Drosophila melanogaster: one gene and its partner. The protein of the gene in region 1 interacts with the protein of each later gene in a pairwise test. Each region holds a gene or a part of one and is shown in the gene's direction. Other genes may lie near its edges.

Region 1 (12,150 bases):
GAAATGCGCTTTGGATCTTCCGTACAAGTTCTGGCTCTTCAAACTATTCGCAATGCCAATATGCGCTTCAGCAGCACCTCGAAGTCCGGGCAGGTAAGTAGGATTACGTTGTAGCAGCGTATCGTAATCTTCAATAGATTCAGTGTACATGCGTATTGTCTATTAAATGGGGTAAAAATTATTTATGTTTTCTTGTTAATTTTGGAATGTGGCACCGTTTTCACTGAAGCTATTTGAAGCAGGGCATAATTATTCTCCGGAGATAGTTCAAGGATCTTTTGAAAGACTCGAATAGCCGAGTTGTACGAGCCGCGTCCCGCATAAGCATCACCCAATGACTCCCAGTAGCTAATGCAGCGGGAGTCATTCTTAATGGCAATGCGAAAGCATTGTATTGCCTGCAATAAAAGTGTTAAATCGGATTCATCAATGATAATCAATTGCTTACACTGTCCCACTTCTTCACATGCGAGAAATGCAGACCCAGCTTGTACTGCAATCGAATTGATTCATTGCTACCCAAATGGCTCAATGTGTTCAGCAGCAGGGTCTCGTTCAGTTCCTCCTCGCCCTGTTCTTGGTAGATAAAGCTCAAGGCATCCACAGCTTCCTCAGCGAGGGGATTAAGGCTTATGCACTTCTCGTAGCACTTGCGGGCTCGTGAGAAGTCCCCAGTGGCCAGCGGGTACAGCTTGCCCAGATAGTCAAAGCACTCGGCAAAGTGTGGGCGCAGTCGAGTGGCCTTTAACACATAATTTAGAGCGTCTGAATAGTTTTTCAGCGCCATATGCAGCTTGCCACAAAGTAGGTATGCCTCAAAAGTCTTACAGTCAGCAATTTCTTGAAGAGCTTCAGATGGAGATCTAGTATAGCAGATGGAAAAGGTGGATTGACTTCTTTAATTTTTGGATTTCCTACTTACAAAACAAATTCTGCTTTGGTCAGATCATCCAAGGGCAAATCTTTCAGCAAGTGCAGTTCGCCCAGCTTGAAGTAGCAGCTGCAAATTAAATAAACTCTTGTTATGCATTTTATTAAACCAAATACTATTGATAAAAAGCTCACCGAGCCAAAGACTTAATATTGCCCTCGGAGTTTTCAAGCGTTTGTAAAATCGTGACAGCTTCTCTTAGTTTTGAAACGCCTTTTTCGTGCGATAAGCATAGAGCATAAGCGTCGTTTTCCTGTCCAATTTCCTGCCACAGCTGAAGGGCCAACTTGTATGCGCCCAGCTCCATGTGGATACGAGCCAGCAATTCCAGCGTTACTTTGTACGCAGGTTGACTTTTCTGTGCCTGCAATGCCAACTGCCTGGATGCGACGACCTGCCCCTCAGCGAAAAGATCCAGGGCTTTAACCAACAAAGCAAGGTTAGAGTTAGGATTAAGCTCCAGAAGCTGCTCAGCGTACACCTGAATGGGATGCCTCAGCTCCTGTTGCCAACTAACTATTTCGGATTGCTCGTGGTGTTCGCAGTAGGTCTTGCATATCCACTCGAAGCCATAGACATCTTTGGGATGCGACTCGGTCATATTGCAGGCGTGCCGCACGCAAGTCTCATAATCCTGCTTCTTGTAAAGCCACTTCAGGTATCGCTTGTAAACCACGCTCCTTGCACTGGGTTCAGAGTTCTGCAGCAGAGCTTCCATAGTCGTTTTGTACTGAAAAAAGTGTAATTAGTCATTACGCACTAATTTATAATAAGAAATTGAGCTATGAAAGTGCTCATATCAATTATAATTCTTTATATTTCAAAATTATTTTTAATAAATAAATTAATAATTATACGGTAACTTACAAGCTGAGTATCTTCGGGCGCAATTTCAAAGTCGTTTGAAACCCAAATGCGTCCCAGATACTCCTGAATTTTCGTAAAATTTCCATTCTCTGTGTCCTGCACTCTCTTTTTAAGTACAGTGAAGCAGAAAGGAGCCACATTTGAGTCAGAGGCCAAGTTGAAAAGCTTTTCCCAATAGTTCAAGGATTGTTCTCTAAAAATGTAAAGTAAAGATCACTTTAGTAGTCCTTTTATGACAAAGTCTAGTATGGATAGTATGGAGTATGGATAATGACCAGGGAGTCACGAGCAGATTCTTACGGTTGCAGGTCAGCCAACTGATCATAGATTTCAGGCAGTTCGTTGCTGGGCGCGCAGTTGGCGAGTCCGAGGAGCGCGGCAGGGGCCGGACCATCCGTGCACTTGATGCACTGCCTCAGGTTTTTGGCCGCCTCCGCCTTGTCGATATTCTGGTAGGCTGCCCCAAGCAACAAGTAGCCCATAGCATTTTCAGGCTCCGATTTAAGTAGGCGCTGCAATAAAGGCATTAGGATGATGCATAACTGGTATGTTCTATGGTGACGTCACTTGGCACTTGGGTATGGCTTCCGCATGCTTGCCCAGCTTTATGGTCTCCCGAATGTCCTTGATCAAGGCTTTTGACTCTTTTACGGCGCTCATTGTAAATATTTATATTTATTTTTCATCTATTCCAAACAAACAGTGATGGGTAACTTGATTTTGTATAACGCCAGTGTTGGTCACTGCTGCATAAGGTGCAACAGCTGTTAATTAAATTGTGTGCTAATTAAGTGTCAGTAAAAATGCACATTATCTGCAAGTCGCAGTGCGGAAATCGCGCTGCTTTGAAGGTAGTTCATAAGTTAAACAGCCCCTAATAAATCCTAATAATGTTGTTTGCCCAAAGCGACCCAAAACCGGCGATGCCCTGTGCAAGGAGTGCTTCTTCGCAGCCTTCGAGGCAGAGATCCATCACACAATCTCCTCCAGCAACTTGTTCCGACGTGGCGAGAAGGTGGCCGTAGCGGCCAGTGGAGGCAAGGACTCCACGGTCCTAGCGCACGTGTATGTCGTACCATTCCCCCCATCGCACCTCTCTAATCCAAGTGTTCTACAGATTAAAACTGCTAAACGAACGCCATAACTACGGTCTGGAACTGGTGCTCCTTTCCATAGACGAAGGCATCACTGGATATCGGGATGACAGTTTGGAGACAGTGAAACAGAACCGTGACGACTACCAGATGCCACTAAAGATCCTGTCCTACGAGGAGCTCTACGGCTGGACCATGGACCGCATTGTTGCCCAGATCGGCCGTTCTAACAACTGCACATTTTGCGGCGTCTTCCGCCGACAGGCCTTGGATAGAGGGGCCAAGCTGTTGGGCGTTGATAGCATAGCCACAGGCCACAATGCAGATGACATTGCGGAGACTGTCTTGATGAACGTGCTCCGTGGGGACACGGCGCGCCTGCGACGCTGCACGAGCATCCGCACCGGCGGGGGCGAGGATACCATTCCCCGAGTGAAGCCCCTCAAGTACAGCTACGAGAAAGAAATCGTGATGTACGCCCACTACAAAAAGCTGGTCTACTTCTCAACGGAGTGCGTATTCGCCCCCAATGCGTATCGCGGCCACGCTCGAGCGTTTCTCAAGGATTTGGAGAAAGTGCGACCATCGGTTATAATGGACATCATCTACTCTGGCGAACAGCTTCGCTTCAAGGACACGGTAAAGAAGCCCGAGCGTGGCACATGCACCCGATGTGGCTTCGTTTCCTCACAGCAGCCGTGCAAGGCGTGCGTCCTTCTCGAGGGTCTAAATAGAGGATTGCCGAAGCTGGGCATAGGCAAGAAGTCGAAGGGCGAGCGAATGATTGCCAAGCAGAACCAGGAACTAGCATTGCGGGAGCGAGCAAACTTAGTAAAAAACGATTTTTAAGAACACATATGAATTTTATTTATTCGTGATTCCACAAGATACAAATTGTGTTCATCCAAGGTTGCCAACCTGAAAAGATAACAACAGGAACGATAAGTTTGGTTTCGCAGGCTAATTTCATTAATACTAGAATGCATTATGAAGCTCAGTGCCAAGTTTTTAACCAGGGCCCATAACCAGTCAAACAAGACGCTCTATCTCCAAAAGAATATTGAAGAAGATTGCCAGCGCTTGACCTTTATATGGTGTCTGTGAATGGTTTAAGTGATCATCATTGAAATCTTCATTTCCGCTAAACAGAATCTCTTTTCGTACTAACCTTTTTAGATATTGGAATTTATAAATGAACCATTGACGGATTCATTTTGCTACGCATGTTTCACATCTGTAAAAAAAAAAAAAAAATCAAAAACAATACAAATAAGTAGTTATTCAAATATAACTCAATCGTTTAAGCGATTTTAAAATGATCAGTTAATTATATTAGAAAAATTTGAATCACAACGGTTCATTAGAGATGTCAGAAATTTTAAAAGCATCATTTACATATTATTTCGTTCTAGAGTATAATTTACCTTTTCAAAGGAGAGATCCTTGTTTGGGCATATGACGCGACAATCAAAGGTGGTTTTCTTGAACACTGCAAAATGACAAAAATTAAATGGTTATAAAGAGCAGCAACCGATTTTCTAAAAAACTTATAAAACACAAAAATAATAAAATGAAGGGGTTTCAGTAAAAACTCGTATAGCTTCATAACATTTTTCAGTCGAAAGATGGTGTAAGTTTCATTCATCACAACACAATTAATTGTCCAATTTACACATAAAATTTAAACTAAATTTTTTTATTATCTTAAACCGAATTATTACCTTTTTCACTGTGTTAGTGAGCCACGTTTGATACATGATATTGACGTTGCAATGAACTGAAATTAAAATATATTTGTGTTATTCAAATGTAACAATCTTTTTAACAGGTTTTTTTAAAGCGTTTAAAATTCAGTGAAAACTAGTATAGCATCAAAATGATTTTCAGTCGAAAGATGATGATAGGGTCATTCATCACGAAATTTTAAGTAGTTTTCATAAATGAAGAGAATAATTACCATTTCACGCTGATAACCTCATTTATATTCCGAATCCAAATCGAAAGACCGATCTGCAAGTAATAGATGAGTTCTCATAAGTCACGGCCACAAGTAAAAATTATATTTAGTTGAGAGTCGAATGTGTCAGAATTAGTTATAACTGATTTGAATCACAACGGTTCATAAGAGATGTCAGAAAATAGAATTATAAATCATCAGATAACTGAGAAGGGCTAATTTGGGATTTGGAACGAATTCTTACCGTCTGTCTCTCTCCAACTCTGCCAGAAAACACGTGTTGAGCATAAGAGGCCATTTTGTTTCTGAAAATGGAATGCTGGGTTAGCCATATTCGCAAATACTAAACTTAGCTAGTTAAGAGGGTTTAAACTGTCAGCTTCACGAAAATAATATGCACCGCAAACTCGGGTTTTTTAAATTTGGGTTATGCTTGGGCAAAGCACGTTTTTCTGCGAGCAAGTAAAAAGCACTAGCTAAAGTAGTAGTTTCTTTACACCAGCGACTCATGCTCGCATGAAAATATTAATATTATTTAACAAAAATATAAATAAATACAATGATGAAACTTACCAATTCACAAATGCCAGCGCTTTAACGCAGCGCCTAGTAATCACAGATTCACCTGCAATATAAGCAAACGCATCGTTTAGCTAACGTTCTTTTTTAATTTTTAATTTGTTGAGACTGCAATGGAATCTCGACCACGTGACTGCAATTTGAATTGCAATCGGTGAAGTGCATTTCCCTGCGCATCACAAATTAATCTTGCAACATTGAGTTCTGCAAACAAGCCAGTAGAACTCGATTTGCAGTTATAATCGCTGCACTCACCGGTCGCCTATCATATCTATAATACTTACATTTTTATATATATTTTTTTAATCGTTTCCAATGCGGTGATGTTCGCTCCACGTTCTTTAAAAAAGTGAAGAGAAGCCAGTGAAGTTGGCGGCGATTGGTGGTGCAGTGTGCACGCTGCTTGTACTTTCAAGAATACTGAAACGCCTAACGCCTGCGTTTGTGGTCTGTTTTCAAGGTGGCGCACTGTTATGAAAAACTGATTTACCAAAACAAGTTCGCATTGAACGATTTAAGTAAATACATACAAGTTATTGCCCCATATTAAACTTAAGTCAATACTTGATTTAATTTAATAAAGAAGAAAATAAACAAAGAAAAAGAATTCACACAAATAAAACACTAATAATATTTTATGTTTAATAAACTTTAAATAAAATGAATAGATCTTAGACAAATACTACCCGACTAGAAAATACTCTTACTCAGCTAGTGGATATGCGAACACGAAAATTTATCATGATAGATACTGCTAAATAAAATGAGAAAAAATTAAAAATTGTTCATAAGTGTGTTTTGAGCGTTTTGTAATTATAAGGAGGGGTGTGGCAAAGGTGCTCGACTTGGCTATTGATCCTGATCAAGAATATGCTTTTGTATACTATTTTACACTACGAGTAACGGGTGTAAAAACTCAAAAGCTGACCAGTGCAAAGAAGTTTTACTTCGATTTATCCGGGTGGTAATATTCGATTGCAGCACTTGCAGCTCTACAAACGCGGTGGTTCTAACTGTTTTTCTTGCGGACCAGACTGACGCGGCGCCAAGCTTTTTTTGTTTCTATATTTTAGGCTTAATTGCGAGTGCACGATGACGGATTTCAATGCATCCGGAGTCATTCTGTCTTTGGGTACGTAAAAATGTCTGCTCAATTTGTGATCGTCCTTAAAATATTCGTTTTTTTTATCTGACAGATGAGTACTTCGAGCAATGCGTAGTACCAAAACCCAGAATACCACCACGATACTCGAGTAATGCAGCCCCCAAGGGCGATAATCGCCAGCTGGGGCACTTGCAAACCTACAAGGACCAGGATCAGGGTGGCGATACCGATGTTGAAGTTGAAGATTTCCAGGGTTCCGTGCTAGCAAATGGCCAATCAATTCTAACCGAGTTCGATTCCAATGTTTCGCAAATCAACTTTGAGATTAATGACTTTGATAAGGTGTACTGCGAGACGGAGTCTCAAAGCTCGGAGGCCTCACAAGGCTCAGCCACGTGGCGCATGAATGGTAACAACGTCAACCGGCCATCAGCGGCGGCTCAACTGGGGCTCAGTGACCAGGCACGTGGTCACGTTAAGTCGCGCCTTGATCTGAGAGAAGGCTCTCGATTTCGTAATAATTTTAACAAGAGACGCAATCGTCAGTATAATCACCATGAACGGAATGAATTCCATCGTCATCAGCACCAGCCCCAGATTGCCAAGAAGGAGGTCCTGCGCTACGCCTACAATGCCTTCAGCAGTCAAGAAATCCATTCAAATCAACAAACTGACCTTGACATTGATGTAAATAAACATTTCCAGTATACTCACCAGGCACCCACTGATCCGCGTAGCAGCCGCAACTACATGGGACCTGACCACTACGACTGGACCGGCTCCACCTCGATCGGCTCTTTAATCGATTCGGTGTCCCACATTCCGGATAATCGTGTCAAGAACCATTTGCCTTGTGAAACCATCACGCGTTACACGGACAACTCGATGAATGTGTTTGCTGGAGAAGCGCAGGATATTAATAAGCCGCAGACTGACCTGAAACCCGCAGCAGTTGATTCCGAGAGCATGAAAATCAGTAAAATGGCCCACAACGTGATGCTCTTGCTCAAGAGCGTTGCCCAGCAAAACAACCAAGGAGACTCGTGTGACATCTTCAAGGTAATATTCGAAATCATGTGTAATCTAATACCACACAATAGAGATTTGAAAGAAAGCCTTACAAACTGCACGTGTAAGAAAAAAGGCATTAAGCTTCAAGAAATGATTCATATTAACTTTGTATTTTTAAATAAGTTTACGGTTTTCTTATTTAAGAACATCGACTGGATAAACGGACCGATGGAGGAGTCCCGAAGTGTCGCATTGCCTGAACGTGAAGGAGGAAGGGACCAACTGCAACGTTTTAACTAGAAAACCGACATCAAGTTGCATTTAAGGGATCTATCTGACTTCTGTTATTTCTAAGTACTCAGCAGCCCATGTTTAAATTAAGTTCGCCGGATTGGCGGGCACTTTCTGTGCGAATTGCGAGTCGACGCAGGCAAGAAGAAGACGATTTCGACGATGCCCAGTGAATGGCAGGGGTGAATAGTCGCTTTCTGCCTCTTTTTTTTATATATATAACACATATTTCGGCTGATAAGAACAGGCTGGGCCTCTTATCAGTAATGCACAACAAGAAGTACACACGGACGAACGAGATGTGAGAAGCGAAAGCGGACGAAAATAGAAACAAACGGCGATAAATTTACAGCGAAGGCGATTTTATATACATACATAACTGATGTGCCGGAGACGAACAGAGTAATAATCAGTTAATCTGCCAAGCACCCAGAGAGCGGACGTGAAAATGATCATCGGGATCGGATAGCGGGATAGTTAGTAGTGATCGTAACTTAGGATAGTGTGCTAAACACTAACCTCAACCTATGTTTTGTGCTTTGTCGAGTGTAGAACGAACACGCAGTTATTTTGTTGTTTGTGCAAAAGCATTCGAAAGTGGCCAACTGAAGAAAGAGCCATCGATTCTTTGCATTTGGTTACTTTTATAGCGTAGTCTTTTTCCCAAACGATTTTCTTAACGAATACGAAATAAACTGAACACAGTACCCTAAATGTGCGTTGTTCGTCTTCGGTAGTGCCAAGCATGTTGAAGTCGAAGCAGTTGCTCCAACAGTTTTCCAAAGGTAAGGATGTGTGGGTTTCCGGAGCCGAAATGGCACAACTTGAGGTGTTTTACACACCCTAGCTATCTGTGTTTTCGTTGCCGCCTCCATTATCAGCCTTAGGCATGTGCTGGAGTAAACTAATACCATATCACCAGATCCGTAGGCTCGCCTTGACAGCCTTAATCGCATCTGACGCCGACCAAGCCGAAGATTATCAGTAAACACTTTTTCGCCAAATTCTTTGTCACGATGAACTTTCCCCACGCACACTGGCTGACAAAATTATTCGCTCAGAAAGTGGATATTATCTTAAATATCCTTTTTGGTTTCCGGATTAACTTAACTTAACCAACTTTTCAACAAGTATTGAACGCAGATCTCAAAGTGTGTGTCACTAAACTTTGTTATGCTATAATTATATTGATTATAAACAAACAAATTTTACATACTGGATAGCTTGATTTTACTTATCTTTAATAATGGTATTTAAAGCTCACTGCAGTATGTCAAACCATTAGGAAAATCTACGAAAAACATGATTGGTACAAACCAAATACATAACATTGTTTCATTAAAAGTTTTAGAGGGAAAATACTTTCCACTTGCACTGTGTTGTTTATCAGCTGTTCCGGGAAATTTCCATTAAAACCTAGTAGTTACACATCGATTTCGGCCGTAGGATGCTTCAAAACGGCAGGAAGATTATTCCCGAGGGTTTGAGTAAATTTCCCGTGACGAGGACCCACATTTGATCGGACTAACGAGGTCTTTCGCTTGCAATTGCCATTTTGAACAGAGTACGCTAAATATACGCCGACCAACTTCAAGCTAAAGCGGGCCCTGGTCGTCACCAAGCTGTCCCGCTATGAGTTCGAGCAGCTACGCCACCCGGAACTGTCTCCGGATCAGCTCCAGCAAAAGCTCCGTGACCGGGGCACCGACGTGGAGATGGTCCTCCATCTGCACAAGGTGCACAAGGACTTCGAGCGGCGGGTCGTGCAGAGCTTCCAGGACGTCGGCTGCGAGGTGAAGTTGTCCAGCAGGTGCGTACCCATGTAGTCCTCCAATTCAGTGATCGGAGTGCAGCTCAAAGCAACGGAGGCCATAGGTACATGTACTCAAGTAAATGAGTAAATGTACTCAAGCCATGGAAATGATTTCATTGCTTTGAATGAGATTAGTTCTATGAGGACATGTACCCAGACATCCACACCTTTAGGCCTCCAATCACTGCCACCAATGTTGTGTTGCGTGCCTCGTCACTTCGTCACATACTATACCTATATGTATCTTCGATTTGTGACTACTACCCGCTACAATTGATCTCCACCATCTTCACACACTTCGTGTCTCCCATGCGGCACCTCACCCTGTGTGTTGACTTTACTAAACGAGCAGACTTGAATTTAGAAGCTCGTTGAGCAAGGACGTCATGAGCTGGGCGGACGTCATCGTGCCGGTGGGCGGCGATGGCACTTTCCTTCTCTCCGCCGGACGCGCCAGTCCGCTCTTCGCGCTCAGCCAGCAGAAGACGCCGATCGTGGGCTTCAACTCGGATCCGCTTCACTCGGAGGGCCGACTCATGCTGCCCAAGCACTACTCGGATAATCCGGCCGACGCCGTTTCCCGCATCAAGAGCGTAAGTCCTGGAACGAGCCACTTCTCACAATTCATTCATTAAATATTCAAATTCCTGGCAGGGAGATTTCAAGTGGATGCATCGCTCGAGGGTGCGGACTACGATGCTTGGTAGCAACGGCAATATTCCGGAGCCGACTGACCTTTTCCGCCACACGGAGGTCAAGATGGAGCAGGTCAGCACCGCACCCGAAATGCTGGACCAGGACATGGCCTACAAGTACAAGGCCAAGATGAAACGTGTTCTTCCTTACTTGGCTTTGAACGAGGTAAGACAATTAGGATTCTATGCTGGATTGCTTAGATCTTACAAGCTGTCTACATAGGTATTTATTGGCGAGCATCTATCGGCCCGAGTGTCCCACTTGCAACTGGTGCTGGACCACCAGGACGTGGTGAACAAGACCAAATGCTCCGGACTGTGCGTCAGCACGGGCACGGGCTCAACATCCTGGCACACCAGCATCAATCGCATCACAAGCCGAGATGTGGACGACCTGTTGCGTTCCCTGCCCGACGGCGATTCAAAGAACGTGATGATGCTACGACAAAATGCAGAGGAGATCGCCCAGCGGTACAACCAAGGCCTGCTCTTCGCGCCAGACGACCCGCGCCTCTGCTATTCCATCCGGGAGCAAATCTGCGTGGGCGTGTGGCCTTCGCCAAAGACTTTTAAGGAGCGCGATTTTGTGCAGACCGTGTTTGTCAAGTCGCATTGCATCGATGCCAGTGAGTAGTTGGACATTCAAATACGAAACAAGATATAACTATGACAATTACATCTCCACAGACCTGGTTATAGATGGCAGCATTTCGTTCCCCTTCAACGATGGCGCCAAGGCTTTGCTAGAGGTTCACCCAGAAGATGCCCTTCTGACAATCGCTTTAGACTGAATCCAGTGATGCGCCCCTAGTGCCTGGTCATCTCGCTCTAGCATGTCTGAATTTTTGAAATTATTTAAGTAAGCATTTTGCAACTACTTAGCAGTGTAAGCTCAAAAGTTATTTTGTTATTTTATAAAAGTATATTTAAACATCACGCTTTATCTTTCTTGACATCTGCTCTGCCCTTTTGGGCAACTGGTTTTTCTTTGTTAAGCCTTTTCAGTGGCTTGGTTGGGGTATCTTCTTGGGTGGCTCTACTTCGTCCTTTTCCCTTCTTCTCAAACCTCGCACTGTCTACAGATTTAAAACGCTCGTCCTGTAGGAGAGCTTTGCCCTCTTCGCTGGCTGCCGGCTCTGCGTGCTGCAGTTTTCTCTTTCGGCGTATTTCCCTTAGTTTATCCTTCTGTTTTTTACGATACCTGTGGATGGGATACAAAAATTGTTATAAAATACAACGAATATGCGTATTTTCCACTGCTTACAAAGCTTCCATTTGGTCGGGGTCCTTCCCCTCCATAATCCACGTCTTTCGCCTATAGTTTTGCGCTCGCTCGTCGAAATCGTTATTATCTAATTGCATCTCTGATTCACGGCGCGTGACATTTACTTGCATAAAGATTCTCTCCACCATGCGCTCTAATTTATATAATATATATATTAAAGATAGTTATTTTGTGTGCCACTAATTCCAACAAAACTTACGATCGATGGGATGCTCTGTAAGTTTGGTGTTGATCTCCTCCTCAATGGCGGCCAAAAGCTCTAGATCGCGTGGAAAGCGGAATATGGAGATGGACATGCCCTTGCGCCCCGCTCTTGCTGTTCTGCCTACGCGATGGATGTACTCCTTTGGTGTCCGGGGAAGCATGTGATTCATAACCAGCTCGACGCTGGGTATATCCAGACCTCTGGCGGCCACATCCGTAGCGATCAGTGTACGTATTTGGTTGGACTTGAAGCGACTTAGAGCAGCTACGCGCTCCTTTTGCCGCATGAAACCATGCAAGCAAACATTATCGATTTCC
Region 2 (12,403 bases), on another chromosome or scaffold:
AATTCGAGCCAATCGATTATATTGAGTTTCTGGAACGGGGTCGCAAGAGGCGTCAACTTTTGGATCAATCCTTGGGTGGAAATACGGATCGACTGCGGTGGTACGAGGAAAGGGTCAGATTGGGCGAACTGGGCGAGTGCCAGTTCATCTACGAACCCATTAGTGGATCTCAGGGGGAGGAGTCCAGCCATCCCGAATTTGCGGCACCTCAGAAAATTATGTCCAAATCAAACAGCGATATTATTGTGGACGATTTCGAGGGTTAAAGTTTGTAATGCGTCAGTATAGTTGGTAAATTTCATTAAATACTCTGCTATTTAAATTTCAATTGATTTCGTTATGGAATTTTACGAGTATTAATGACGGCGTGAAAATACGGAAAATAAGAATAGGTTGGCATATATTCAAAAACTGTTCTTTTAAATTATAATCAACCGTCCTGTTTGCAAGTAGAAAGTTAAAATTCATGAACGGAAACTTAATCATACTATTGAAGACAAAATCAATTTTTATGTATTGACTTTCAACGCCATTTTAATGTTCGTTTTTATGCTAAGTTTTTAGATAAATGTGCAATGGCATTTCAGATGGTGTTTTCCCTCTATTTTTAACTACTCTGTTGGCCATTCAAAGTGACCCACCCATCGTGCTAAACGGTTGACTGCCTCTGGCCGTTTGCCAAATAAAATTCGGCTCTCAATTAGGGGCCCATTGAACCTTGAAGAGCCGCTTCCGCTTGACGGCCAGCTGGCGGGTTCAAGTTTATGACATTTCTAGGCATTATGTTTGGTTTGTGTGCACAAATGAAGTCATCCCGTGGACGAGGCGTCTCCCGAGTTTAATGAACCTGCCCCCATAACGGAGAAAGAAAACACCATGGTCCGTCTCCAAGCCGAGCTGGGGGAATTCCCACGGCCATGCAACCTCTGGTCAATCCGCTCCAAAGTACTCCAGGTAAACGCCATTGAGGTAGGGGTAAATTTGAATGCAAACCGACAGCGGCAGTCCATCATTTTCGCAAGCAGATAATGATATACATTTCGGAAGCAATGCATCTGAACTTTACCATAATTTCGAGTGCATTATTATTGGCCCGCTCTGGGCAGTTGAATGCAAAGTTGCAGATACATTTTACGTTGCATCATCATCATCGACGTCGACCACCTGTTGTCCTTAAAGCGATAAGTATTAAGTGATTTCTGGACAGCCGCTCGCGAGTTTTCCTTTTTTTTCCCCCATTTATTTATTAATACAATTTTCGTGCGCTTGCGTGCGTCTGCAACTGAGGCAAGTGCATTTACATAACAATTGGCCTTTGAATTCAAATTGGCAGCGGGCTTTGGCCCCTCCAACGAATCGGGCTATACCCAGACTGAGGCTGAGGCTGCGGGACTGCATTAAAATCTCTTTACCGCCATTTAAAATAATTTACGATCTTATGCAAATCGCCGCTTTCGTTGCACTAGCCCCCAAACTTGCCACCGTGACTCGACATAATGCTCGTTGGCCAGAAATTAAACGCACACATCGATTATTCACGCCCATTGTGCGCCACTTAACAATAACTTAAAAGTGGAAGAGCGCCACAGGTGTCATACGCATAAGACAAGCTCACACTTGTGGATAATGGATTGATAGCTTTTTGAATCTCAAAGGATTAATAAAGTAAATGAAAGAGTTAACTTCATTTTGCAAGAACGCTCTTATAATATAGTTAAGTAAACACAGCACTAAATGTTCCATGGGTCATGGAGAGTAAAAAGCACGGGTGATTTGGCGAAGCTGTTGGACACGTTTTGATGCCGTTGATTAAATATTGGAAGCTATTTGATCCTTATCCAAATCGGAGAACTCAATTAACTCCCCAAGTCGTTTGAGCAATTGTTTACAGGAGTCCCGTTCCGCAATGTCTTTCGTCTTAGCCAACTGGCTAACCAACTCCAAAATGCTGGTCAAAAAGCTTTTAAATTCCTCTTCGTACTCGACCACTTCCTGCTCGAGTTCTTTGGTACTTTTCTCTCCTATCGAGGATTCCACAAAGTCACAAAAGTTGAGACACACATGACCGAGTGTGTATAGAGATTTCACAAACGTGTTGGCAGTGGGTAGTAACCCCAGACGCAGGCATTCTTCTACGGTGCTCTCCAATTTGTTTAGTACCTCGTCGATACATTTTGCCTTGTCCACCGTTAAGGTCAAAGATTGCCATCGGGGTTCGGTGATGTCCTGGATGATGTGGTTTTCCAGACTTAGCATACACATTAGCATGCGGTGGCGAAGTTTTCCAGATCGATTGGTTAGCTGGAGACCCGTACCCTCACAAGGACTTTGCCAAAGGACTGTCAAATGATGTTTCACATAGTGCAAAAAAAACAGGACACGCTGTAACATCTGCAATTGCTCTAGGAGCTCCGGGTAGATAATAAAGCTTAGTGGCCATTTTGTTTCATAGCCAAGAGCTAATGCCTCGTAGCCGTAGAGATTCAGGACCTCCGGAGGATCCTGCTCGCTGCAGCTCTCCTTCTCCTCCTCTTCTTCATCTTCTACAGCTCTCTGTGCTTTATGTTGCCTACCCAATAGTGTGGCTACATCGCAAACCTTAAGCTGACAGCGAACATTATCCTTAATGAAATCATTGGACTTATGCAGGGTCTCTGCTAGAAGAGTCTGTAGCTTCTCGGGAATTAACCTTTCCACATTGTACTTTAGGTACTCATGGCATTTGTGCAGAAAAGTTTCGGAGAAGCCTTCCTCCTGCAGCAGGAAATAGGACTTCAAATTGCGAATGTGTAAAGGCAAATTGTGCTCCTCCACCAAAACCTTGAGAAACTTATGTGCTGGCAGCTCATAGCTTGTTTTAATGATCTCCTCATGTCCCAAATCGCCTTGACTATAAGCTAGTGGCCGCTGTAGCAGCTTCAATGAAACATTGCACTGCCTCAAAATGTTTAGGTACTTTCCGGCCAGAAAAATATCATCCGCCTGGGAAAGCAAGAAACCGGGCAAACGGTCTGGCAAAAGGCGGTACCGTTCCGCCCAGTAGGCGTGGCAACATTTCTCCGGCGCCAAAAGAGTACTGCTCATTGTACTCGAGGGCTCCGTGTCCTCCACAAAAAACTCATGCTGCGTATCGAATAGAACACCCTTTTGCATCCAAAGCTGAACAATTTTCATGTAAGCTCGACTAGTCGAAGTCAAAATTTTGTTCACTCGTTCCTTTAGATCTATATCAGTGTCCTTCAGATCCCGGTAGAACTGGTCCAGCAATGTTAGGACCTGGGCGCTGGTCAAATTGCCACGGGCACTGCTGGCCATGTTGGAAAAAGTCTTCAAAATAGGCAACCAAGGACGCACCTGTCGCACCAGATCCTTGAGATCCAACTTCTTGTCCTGCAAATCCGTTTCCAACTTGGACTGTAGATCATAATAGTCCTGCAGTTGATCACTTAAGGCAGTGGCTAAGGTCAGTCGTGTTCTTCCGCAGTTAGGCGACATATTGGTCTCCTCTATATAGCTCTGTACACTAATATAATAACCTATCAGGGGTAATGTTTCATTGGCCAAAGCCCTAAAAGCCCCAGTGAAGGTCTTTTTCAATCGAAAGCGAATCTTGGCTATATCCACTGCAGACATTTCGGAAATCTGATCGATCTGAATATCAGGCTTTACATATGCAGATGGAACACCCGAGAAGGCATAGATTAGATCCCTCATCAGCAACTGTTCCTGACAAGGCAAACTCATCTTGGCCAAATTTTCGTTGGCGAGAAAGTAACCCCCAACGCTCTCGAAGATCCAGGACTCCTGCCGTGGCAGACTTGAGGACGAGCTCGTATTGCAATTATGACCGCTGTTTTCGCTTCCTGATGGACGCATTTTTTCGTCTACGGATTCCTCACGGTCGTGAATTTTCCTCATCTGCCGCTCCAGCTCGTCCTTACTGAGGTGAAAGCGCACTTTGTTCGCGAAGTCACTTTCCGATTTGTCGGAGTTCATGGTGAATAAGAAAATATATCAAGAACAGAGATCGATTTCGAAGCTTAAAATTATTTAAGTGTTCTCTGAATGATTATAATAACTAAGGTATGTTGGATAGATTGAAATTAAATAATTAAATATATGTAAAGTTAGTAGAGTTTTTGGTTGTTATAACAATAGGTGCTAGTGCTGAGTACACCTAACTTCTGCTAGTTCTGATTTCCATTTCTGCTTATTATCAAACTTAACTCTAGCCATTTGTGAAAGGTGGTTACTTTCGGTGATATCCGCTGAATCGTCGAGGTAAATCAACTTGGTTTTGAATCTGGATCCCCATCGATCATCGTGCCCAGCGGCGACATCTTCGCCTCTGGTTTCGTCGAAGTTTGGAGCCACAGGTGCATTTCAAGCCCATACTTCAACGATTCAAGTTGAGCTGGGCGATCCGACGCCCAGTTGTCAATCAAGCGGAGCAGCAGAACCAACTGACGAACGTGCTGAGAATTTTCCATCAATTTCTACGCGATGGGAACTTCGAACTTTCTATGTGCTTGTATCCAAAATATCCGCACACAGTGAGAAATTTTTTTTTTGGTACATATTATTAGGGTGCTTAAACAAATTTGTGAAATCTTAAAACTATGAATTGGATTTAATGAAAATGATTTGCAGTGAGTGAATTATGTATGTGAATATGTGTATTGTTTATTATATTGATAAAAATCAATTTTTCCTCTGCATGTGAAACACTTGAAAGTATCGCACAGGCAACGAGATAACCATGAGAACACTTTATATATGGGCCTTTGTCGCGTGAGTGCCACTTGTCGTGTTTTTGTTGCTACCGCTGTAGCTGCAGTTGCTGTTGCACATGTTGTTGTTATAGTTGTTGTTATTGTCTGTGCCCCCTTTTTGTTGCTGCGCTCGTTTTCTCGCTGTTCTCATTCTAAACAATGCAAATGCAGCGTCAGCGGCTCTGCCAGCAACATTAGCATAAATAAATAAATAACCGTACTGGCAACGAGCGGGTAAATAACAAAATAGCAACACGGCCAGCAGACCGACCACAGCCAGTAACATTAATCTACGCTCCAAAAGCTTTCCGATAGACGTTCCATGGGCTTTTATCCTCCTCGCATTTTACGAGTATAGCAGACACCCAAAACACTTGTTTGCCTTCGTCGCCTAGCGGCGCTTGCACTTCGAAGACTGGGCGCGGTACAAGGGATCGCCTAGAAACGCCCACACACGAACTAGTGCAAGTACAGTGGTAATATGATATGGAGAAATGCCCGATTAAAAGTGTATAAAATATTTTTTTTAATTTTAAAACAAATTTTGCACTACCATGGGCGTTAATCTTTCTTTGTTTTAATATTTCTAAATTAAATAATAAATATTAAACATTAACATTAACATATTAAATATTAACATGAAACGTCGTATACTGCCACTTGACAAGGAAGATAATTTCAAAAATATTTGATTATTCCAAATTGTACATTCCATTTAATAATCTAATTTGGATATATATGTATATTGTATATTTTGAACTGAGTCACATACCAAATTTGACCACCCATTTTAGTTGTTTTGCGACCAATGTGCCTAGGCCGCCGATTACAAAAGCAACACCTTCGCCTTCACCGTAAAATGGGCCTCCCCTGCGTGTTTCACATGTGTCGCATGTGACTACCGTGGATTTTGCAGCCGCTTCTGCCGGCAATCAAATTGAGTGCAAAGCTCGGTTAAAAGCCGAGTATTCAAGTATTCGAGTGTTCGGACAGCAGAAGAGGTGTGATGTTTGATGGGTGTGTGTGTATGTGTGCAGCGAATGCAAAAACAGTTTCGATTTTTTTTTCAATTTTTCCACCTTCTGTTTTTGTCTCGATTCGGTGGGGCCCCAACTTATTGCATTATTTATGTACGAGTAGTACGATTTTTCTGGGTTCCCCAGTAAGCCACACGCACACGGTCCGCACCAGAAAATTGTATAAACAAAACGCGGAAAGCAACAAAAAAAAAAAAACGTTAAAATAAAAAAAAAAACAGTATAAGTATCAGTAGCGGTGACAATCGCAAGTGCAGGGCTCTCTCTCTGTCTCAAGTCTTGAGTCTCAAGTCGAGGAGTCTACTGCTCACACTCACTCAAAGTTTGCCGAGGTGGAGAAACAAACTCGGCGGCATTCTCAGTCAAACAACAAACGCAACTGAAGTAACAACGGTTCCGTACCGCGTACCGCCCCCAAAACAAAAGTGAAATTCTATTAGCTACCCGCCGTCTTGGCCAATCCGCCCAGGAATATCGCAGTGCTTAGCCATTCGCGAAAGTTATGGTATTTGATTCCGTTGAAAATCGGACTGAGTGCTGTGCTTAATGTTCCAGCTGCGCCGGGAAGTGTGGAGCGAGCGGTTGGGAGTCTGGGTGCAGCGCGTCCTCGTCATCGTCCTGCATCTGTGGCACCGCTCCAGTATGTCCTTTGTCCGGCGTCGCCAGGAGGCGTTCAAGTGGATTAGGCGCCGACTGGCCAGAAGGCAGTGTCACGTGAGTACACCGAAAGAAATAGGGTAGTAGCAACGTGACCACATCATTTAGCCACTTCTAAAGCCATTAAACTGATATACTTAATCTCAGTTGCTACAGAATTTAATGGGCTTTGAAATGAGATCATTGGTGAACAAATAAATATATAGACTTGACTGGATAGAGTCAATGTGGAAATAGAATAGCTATGTATTTAGGGTATTCTCTTGAAGTAGTTGCTCAATTTATCAATTACGAAAGCCAATGAGCGAGTGTTATTCGAATTTCAATATTTTAAGGCTGCTTTAGACATTACTAAACAGCTGTTTACTACTTTTTTAATAGCCAGCTTTAACAGAATATTAACGAAGTTGCATAGCCAAAATGAAATTGACACTGATCACAGGAGTACCATTAATCTACAAGAACAACTTAATAAATAGAAGCATCTGTGTAGTCATTAATATTATTCGCAAAAAGTGACTTTTTTCATTACCTTAGTACTTAGCACTTTCTAGAGTCAATAAAGTCAGTGCTCTATTATACAGGCCGGCAAAATAAGTTTTGTATTTTATCAAGGTATGCCTAATTACTAACCCTGAACATGTTTTTGTCCCTTTTCTGACTATCCAATTAGAGTTATGTATTTATTACCCAACTTAGATCATCCTGCACTAGATCCCCAAGTGGGTCATCACTCCAGCTCACAACCTTTAGATTTTAGCTGGAATTCAATTAAAAGTTATTCAGCCAGGCTGCAAATTCAATTAACTACAATCATTTCGGGCATTCGGTGCAATTTTTAGCTAATTCTGGTTTTCCTGCGAATCGGGGCACAGCCGGCTGCTGAAGAAGGGTTAGAAAAGTTTAGCACTCGCGTGACTCGCTATAATTTCTCCATCGGAGTTGCTGGTTTGAATTGGTCTGAGCCCAAGTTGGCCACTGTCTGAGGCTTTGTTCCGTTTCCGCTTTCCGCCCGCTCTGCCTGGATGGGTGTGTCCATCGACCTGGCGGAGACATAGGCTTGGTTCTATATAATTCCATCCCCTGGCAGTCGGGAAAACTCCCCAACAACCCCCCAACTATTTTAGCCCGCCAAACAGTTGGCGTTGAGCGATTATGGCTGTCAGCTTGAAAGGCACTTTCAGCCTGTTATCAATTCAAACAAACGCCAAAATGCCACAAATGTGAAAACCGACCGACAGTCGAGGAGCCGCTAAGAGGCCTCCAAATTGTGCAAATCAAATTGAATGCCGTTTTATGAAAGTTGAGTTGACTTTGCCGGTGATTTTTGGCAATTATCTGTAGCTGGCATTTGTGCGATTTCGAAATTTTTGTGTTTGTAACAATGCGGATCTCAAACAGAGCACGTAGGGGTTAAGCTGAACGCCCATGGCATATTAAAAAGTTTTCTAATATTTAGGCTGCAAACTGATATAAACCAATAGACTGCAAAATGGGTGATTTATTTTTATGTTACTGGTCTGAAGGGAAACTGAATTTTCAAATAGCTGAAATGCGGCAATTGCATGCATAAAGTTAATTGTAAAATTCTAAAATATTATAATGCATATGATTAACGTAAATTAGAAAACTATTTGTAAAGGGCATATGATATATGATATACGTAGTCATTAAGCCCGGAATCAAATCACGAACTAGTGAATCACAAAAAGCTTAGGAATTAATTGATTTTAATTGACTGCGGAAATATTGATACTCTTACTCACAACCCAATTTGCTGTGCAACTTTATTCTAATGCCCGTTCGCATTCGCAAGTGGAATATATGGCAGACCCACCGGGAAGAGCACTTAATAGTTATATTTATGGGCCATCGGTGGAGCCCATATATTGTTTATCCCGCTGGCAAATGTTTATTCGCACCACTTGAAGTTTCAGCGACTGCTCAGATTTTTTTTTCGTGAAACCAGAGCGAAGTAAACACTCATCGCGTGTTCCGGATAACGCAATCGCATGGGGATCTCGAAGCCAGGAACCAAAGGAATCCCGAGCTCGTTAGCGTTCCAGGGTAAGCCTGCGTCTGGCATCGTAAACAAATGCCCGTCAAAAGGCATTCAGCTAAACACCGACAAAGTAGCAAACAAAATATATGTGGACAGCCAGCCCTTCATTTTGTATATACATATGTATAATATGGGAACTTGCCAAGTTCAAGGCAGGAGTTGAAGATGTCTATATATGATGCATTGTATCCACAATTATGGCAGAGGGATGGGCATGAAACACGGGCGGCGGCTATTCAGCGGGGCAAACAATAACATTGTGCATAAAACAGAACTCAGTCCCCAGTCGGAAATGCTGACTAAATGGAAGTGAAAGATACTGTACTATAAGATACTCTATGAACTGGGAAGAGAAGTATTAACTATACAAATACATAAAGATAAAAAATTTAGTTATGATAATGAAGACGTAGCAGTAATGCCAGGGATTTTACTACATAAAATAGAACATAGTCCAGTTTTTGTTTAATTTTTTAATCATTTTCCTTGCATAACCAAGCAATCTTGCAGCCCGCAATAATTGGGCATTGATCTGCATAATACTTTGGTTATTTATATGTATATTTTTTGAGTTGTCGAAAGTCCAAACAATTAGATTGAAAAGCAACGTTCTCGGAAATGTATGTAAATGTATTCCTTCGCTGATTGTATTCTAATGCAATCGGTGACCAAGCGCACGTCAAAGTGGAGATATCCCTATCCACATCCACTATAAATCACCGATAATTGTGGGTGTGCTGTGTTTATTGTTGTTGCTGCCATTGATGTTCCGCGAGCGTTTTTCTGCCGGCCAACGAGCGGTTGAGTCAGCTGAGCTGAAGTAAACTGAACTGGGCTCGATTTGAGCAAAAAAAGCTGAAATGAAGCGAAAAAGCCCAGGCGAAATGCAAACAACAAGCGTTTCGTCGCACGCATGGAAAATCATTGAAGCCTGCAGTCAGTGGAAAATGGGTTTGGGTGAGTACGAGTATCTGTGAGTTACACCCTCGATACCGACTGGGCTTTTCCATTTCGCGCTCCGCTCATTTCAATTTAGTTGGCGCAAAGCGGCCGCCGCAAACGCTTTGAACTCGTTTCCCGGACAGACGGACTTCATGGCTCTTGACGTTTTTCCTATATTGATCTTTTCGACCGATTCAGCAATACAACAACAAAAAAATACAAAAACACAAAAAAGGAAAACGTACGCCCAGTGAAGCAAAATTTGTGCGCGTTTTGATTTTTTGGCGCGTTTTTCATTTGTTTTGATTTCGCGTCTGCGAACCTTTCTGCCCATTTTTTTTTTTTTTAGTTTTTCCGCGGCTTTAACTCTGGCTTTTTCCTTTAGGCCACACAACTATGTATTGATAAATTGCCAGCCGACGATTTCCGTCGTGACCCGCGCGTTATGCAAAATGCTCAAAATGTAAATAAATATTAAAATAATACACAAGATCACGAGAAGGGGGAGCCAAAAGTATCTGCCACACTGCCTTCCTTTTGTATGCGCCCAGCCTTTTGCCTTTTGCCTTTGTTGGTTTAAGCCATTCGGTTCGGTTCGAATCGTTTTTTTTTTTGTGCGATTGTGCTGTGAAAAATGAAGTGAATCTGTCTGGCCAAGTGAATATCGCCATTGCAACAATAATAATAAGCAATAATAATAATAATAATGCGAGCCGACAAATTTCGGTGTGCCTGCGCTTTATTTATGAAAACAATAAACGCAATCCAACAAACTACGCATCAAGTCCGAACCCAAACCCGTACCCGAATCTGGATTGGAGGTGGATGTGCCGGCAATTTCCTGGCACGCATATAATTTGCATGTGGATATCGATCTTTATGACCGGAGACGCTTCGACGATGGCTTATGTAATCTGGAAAATATTCATGAAGCAATATGCCCGCCTGCACTACGATCCTCGGCCCCTCAGTCCCAAGTTGATCTGGCACTCGTATGCGGCCATTCAGACGGTGGGTCACTCTCTATCCCTCTATCCCAGTGAATGCCTCAGTCGCCACAGCATTCGGGGTCACCACGTACCTTTGCGAAAGTGCCTGCCCTTTATTGATTTAAATTGAGTCATTTTTCTCGGCTCTGACCATTGGCCATACAAAGTAATTGTAGATTAATGTGGCTAGCTTTAGTTCATATTTTTCAAGTGATTTGCGCTTTTTTGGGGGGGCGTGAAAGTTGATTTGTGATTAAACGCTCGGTCAGTTCGTTAAGGGAAGTTGGCGAAAGTTTTTAACATTGCAAGGAGTTTTGGGAACTTTTATGCGAGCAACAGGTTTTTGTGGAATTTTGCAGGTGCTGCGTTTAATTTAGTTATTACTTTTTGGTTCTAAGGTATTTAAAGTCTCAGTATATACTCCTGCATAAAACACATTTTTTAGCACCGAATTAACTGCATTTCTCGAGCAGTTTGAGGAAAAACTTTACGACTGCATTTGCTACGCTTAGGATTGGCAATTTCCGACACTGAACTAGTTCGATCACACCTCGATTGGAGTTATTCAATCAGCAGCCAGGGCAATCTCTACTTATGTACGCCGGTGTTTTCCTTGACATTCGTGTGCGGCGACAGTTGCATTTCCCGCCCATTAACGAAATACGATAGCGGGGGTATAGGAAAAGTCAAAGCGAAAATGCAAAGGAAATAGCCGCGATTTGGCGGCTTGGAAAAGCAGGAGCCAAAATAAGAGTAGACAAGGCAAAAAGCTGTTGCGCAGAATCAGGGACGACCACCAAACTAGATAAACGGACGGCAAGACTGTCTGCCCCCATTGATAATAACAATCGGAAAGAGTAAGAGATGCAATATTTCAACGTAAAGTGTTAAAATGTCGATATTAATTGCAGAGTGGCAGCAGCACTTGTGGTAGGACTACAATTCAAGTGGTAGCCAAAATAGTCCCATCCCCCGCAGTCCCCGGATCGCATTTAAATAAATTGCGATTATGCCGCAAATGTGGCAGCCGGTGCACCGAACTGTGCACTGCAATAAAAGGTCTAAACAAATGTGAAATATAAAATATTTTTAAAATGTTAAGGTGCAATTGAAGAATGAGACTTATATAGGTCATATCAGAAATGGCCTTTCATTCTTCTTGAATATATGTAAAATTGCTTTCAGTGTACTCTGGGTGCAGGACCTGGTCTTGCACTTGGTTTTCGGTGGTTTCGGTGGTGCAACTGCCACTGCGACTGGCCGTGCGCTAATAATATTTATCAGTGGCTCATTTGTTGGCCGGACAGATGGACGGACTTACGGACGGACGGACAGGTGGATGCGGAGCGGTGCATTCAATGGCCAATAAAGCAAGAGAGCAATTGCAACTAGCAGCAGGCAGCGGTGGCTAATTGCGCCGCCTGTTTGGTGATTTTGCCGCTGTTAACTTGGTTGGCTGGCTGGCCAATTCCAAATAGGTGGATGGCATGGGAATGGGGATGGGTTGGAATGGGATAGATGGGGGCTGTGCATCCGCTGCTCGTCAGTTTCGATTCAAAGTGCAGTTTAAGTTTTCGGTTGCCTTTTTCCACATTGTTCGCTGCATCCGAGGCATGCATATTTATTTATCGCAGCCAGAGTTTTGCATTTTAACTAGAAATCATGCAAAAACGCCGCAACATGCGATTGCCAACAAAAAAAAAAAAAAAAAAAATCGTCGACGACGAACGCCTTTCAAATCGAATCTCCGAAGCTGTTAACTGCAGTTGAGAGCGATTTTTCGTATGCTTTTCCTCCGACATGAAAATCTGTTTAATATTTTCCCGCGCACTCACGCACGACGTGGGAATTTTTGCAACTCGCGACTTTGAGTTCGTCTTCGTCGGCCACAGCGAAATGCAACTCAAAACTGAAAACTAAAAACTCAAAACCAAAATCTGCAAC

What was found.
Region 2: the proteins of Boot (region 1) and Pura interact in a two-hybrid assay, tested with the Drosophila melanogaster proteins (one large-scale study listed by BioGRID).

Annotation. Positions count from the first base shown.
Region 1 is NT_033778.4:9,088,902-9,101,051, reverse strand, and holds Boot (bootlegger), read left to right. Parts: upstream 1-6,393; 5' UTR 6,394-6,520; coding exon 6,521-6,560; intron 6,561-6,624; coding exon 6,625-7,592; intron 7,593-7,748; coding exon 7,749-7,844; 3' UTR 7,845-8,546; downstream 8,547-12,150. Other genes in the region: CG8777 (uncharacterized protein), read right to left, coding at 1-159, 216-398, 449-863, 923-1,000, 1,066-1,661, 1,799-1,991, 2,099-2,310, 2,366-2,458; Ctu1 (cytosolic thiouridylase subunit 1), read left to right, coding at 2,602-2,649, 2,706-2,863, 2,916-3,741; Nadk2 (NAD kinase 2, mitochondrial), read left to right, coding at 9,283-9,322, 9,399-9,645, 10,001-10,241, 10,303-10,509, 10,567-10,969, 11,031-11,134; Dbp45A (DEAD box protein 45A), read right to left, coding at 11,277-11,544, 11,608-11,761, 11,828-12,150.
Region 2 is NT_037436.4:7,586,923-7,599,325, forward strand, and holds the start of Pura (Puratrophin-1-like), read left to right. Parts: upstream 1-6,168; 5' UTR 6,169-6,355; coding exon 6,356-6,523; intron 6,524-10,307; exon of another isoform or gene 10,308-10,331; coding exon of another isoform or gene 10,332-10,481; intron 10,482-12,403. Other genes in the region: mmm (missing minor mitochondria), read left to right, coding at 1-266; t-Grip84 (testis-specific gamma-tubulin ring protein 84), read right to left, coding at 1,810-3,996.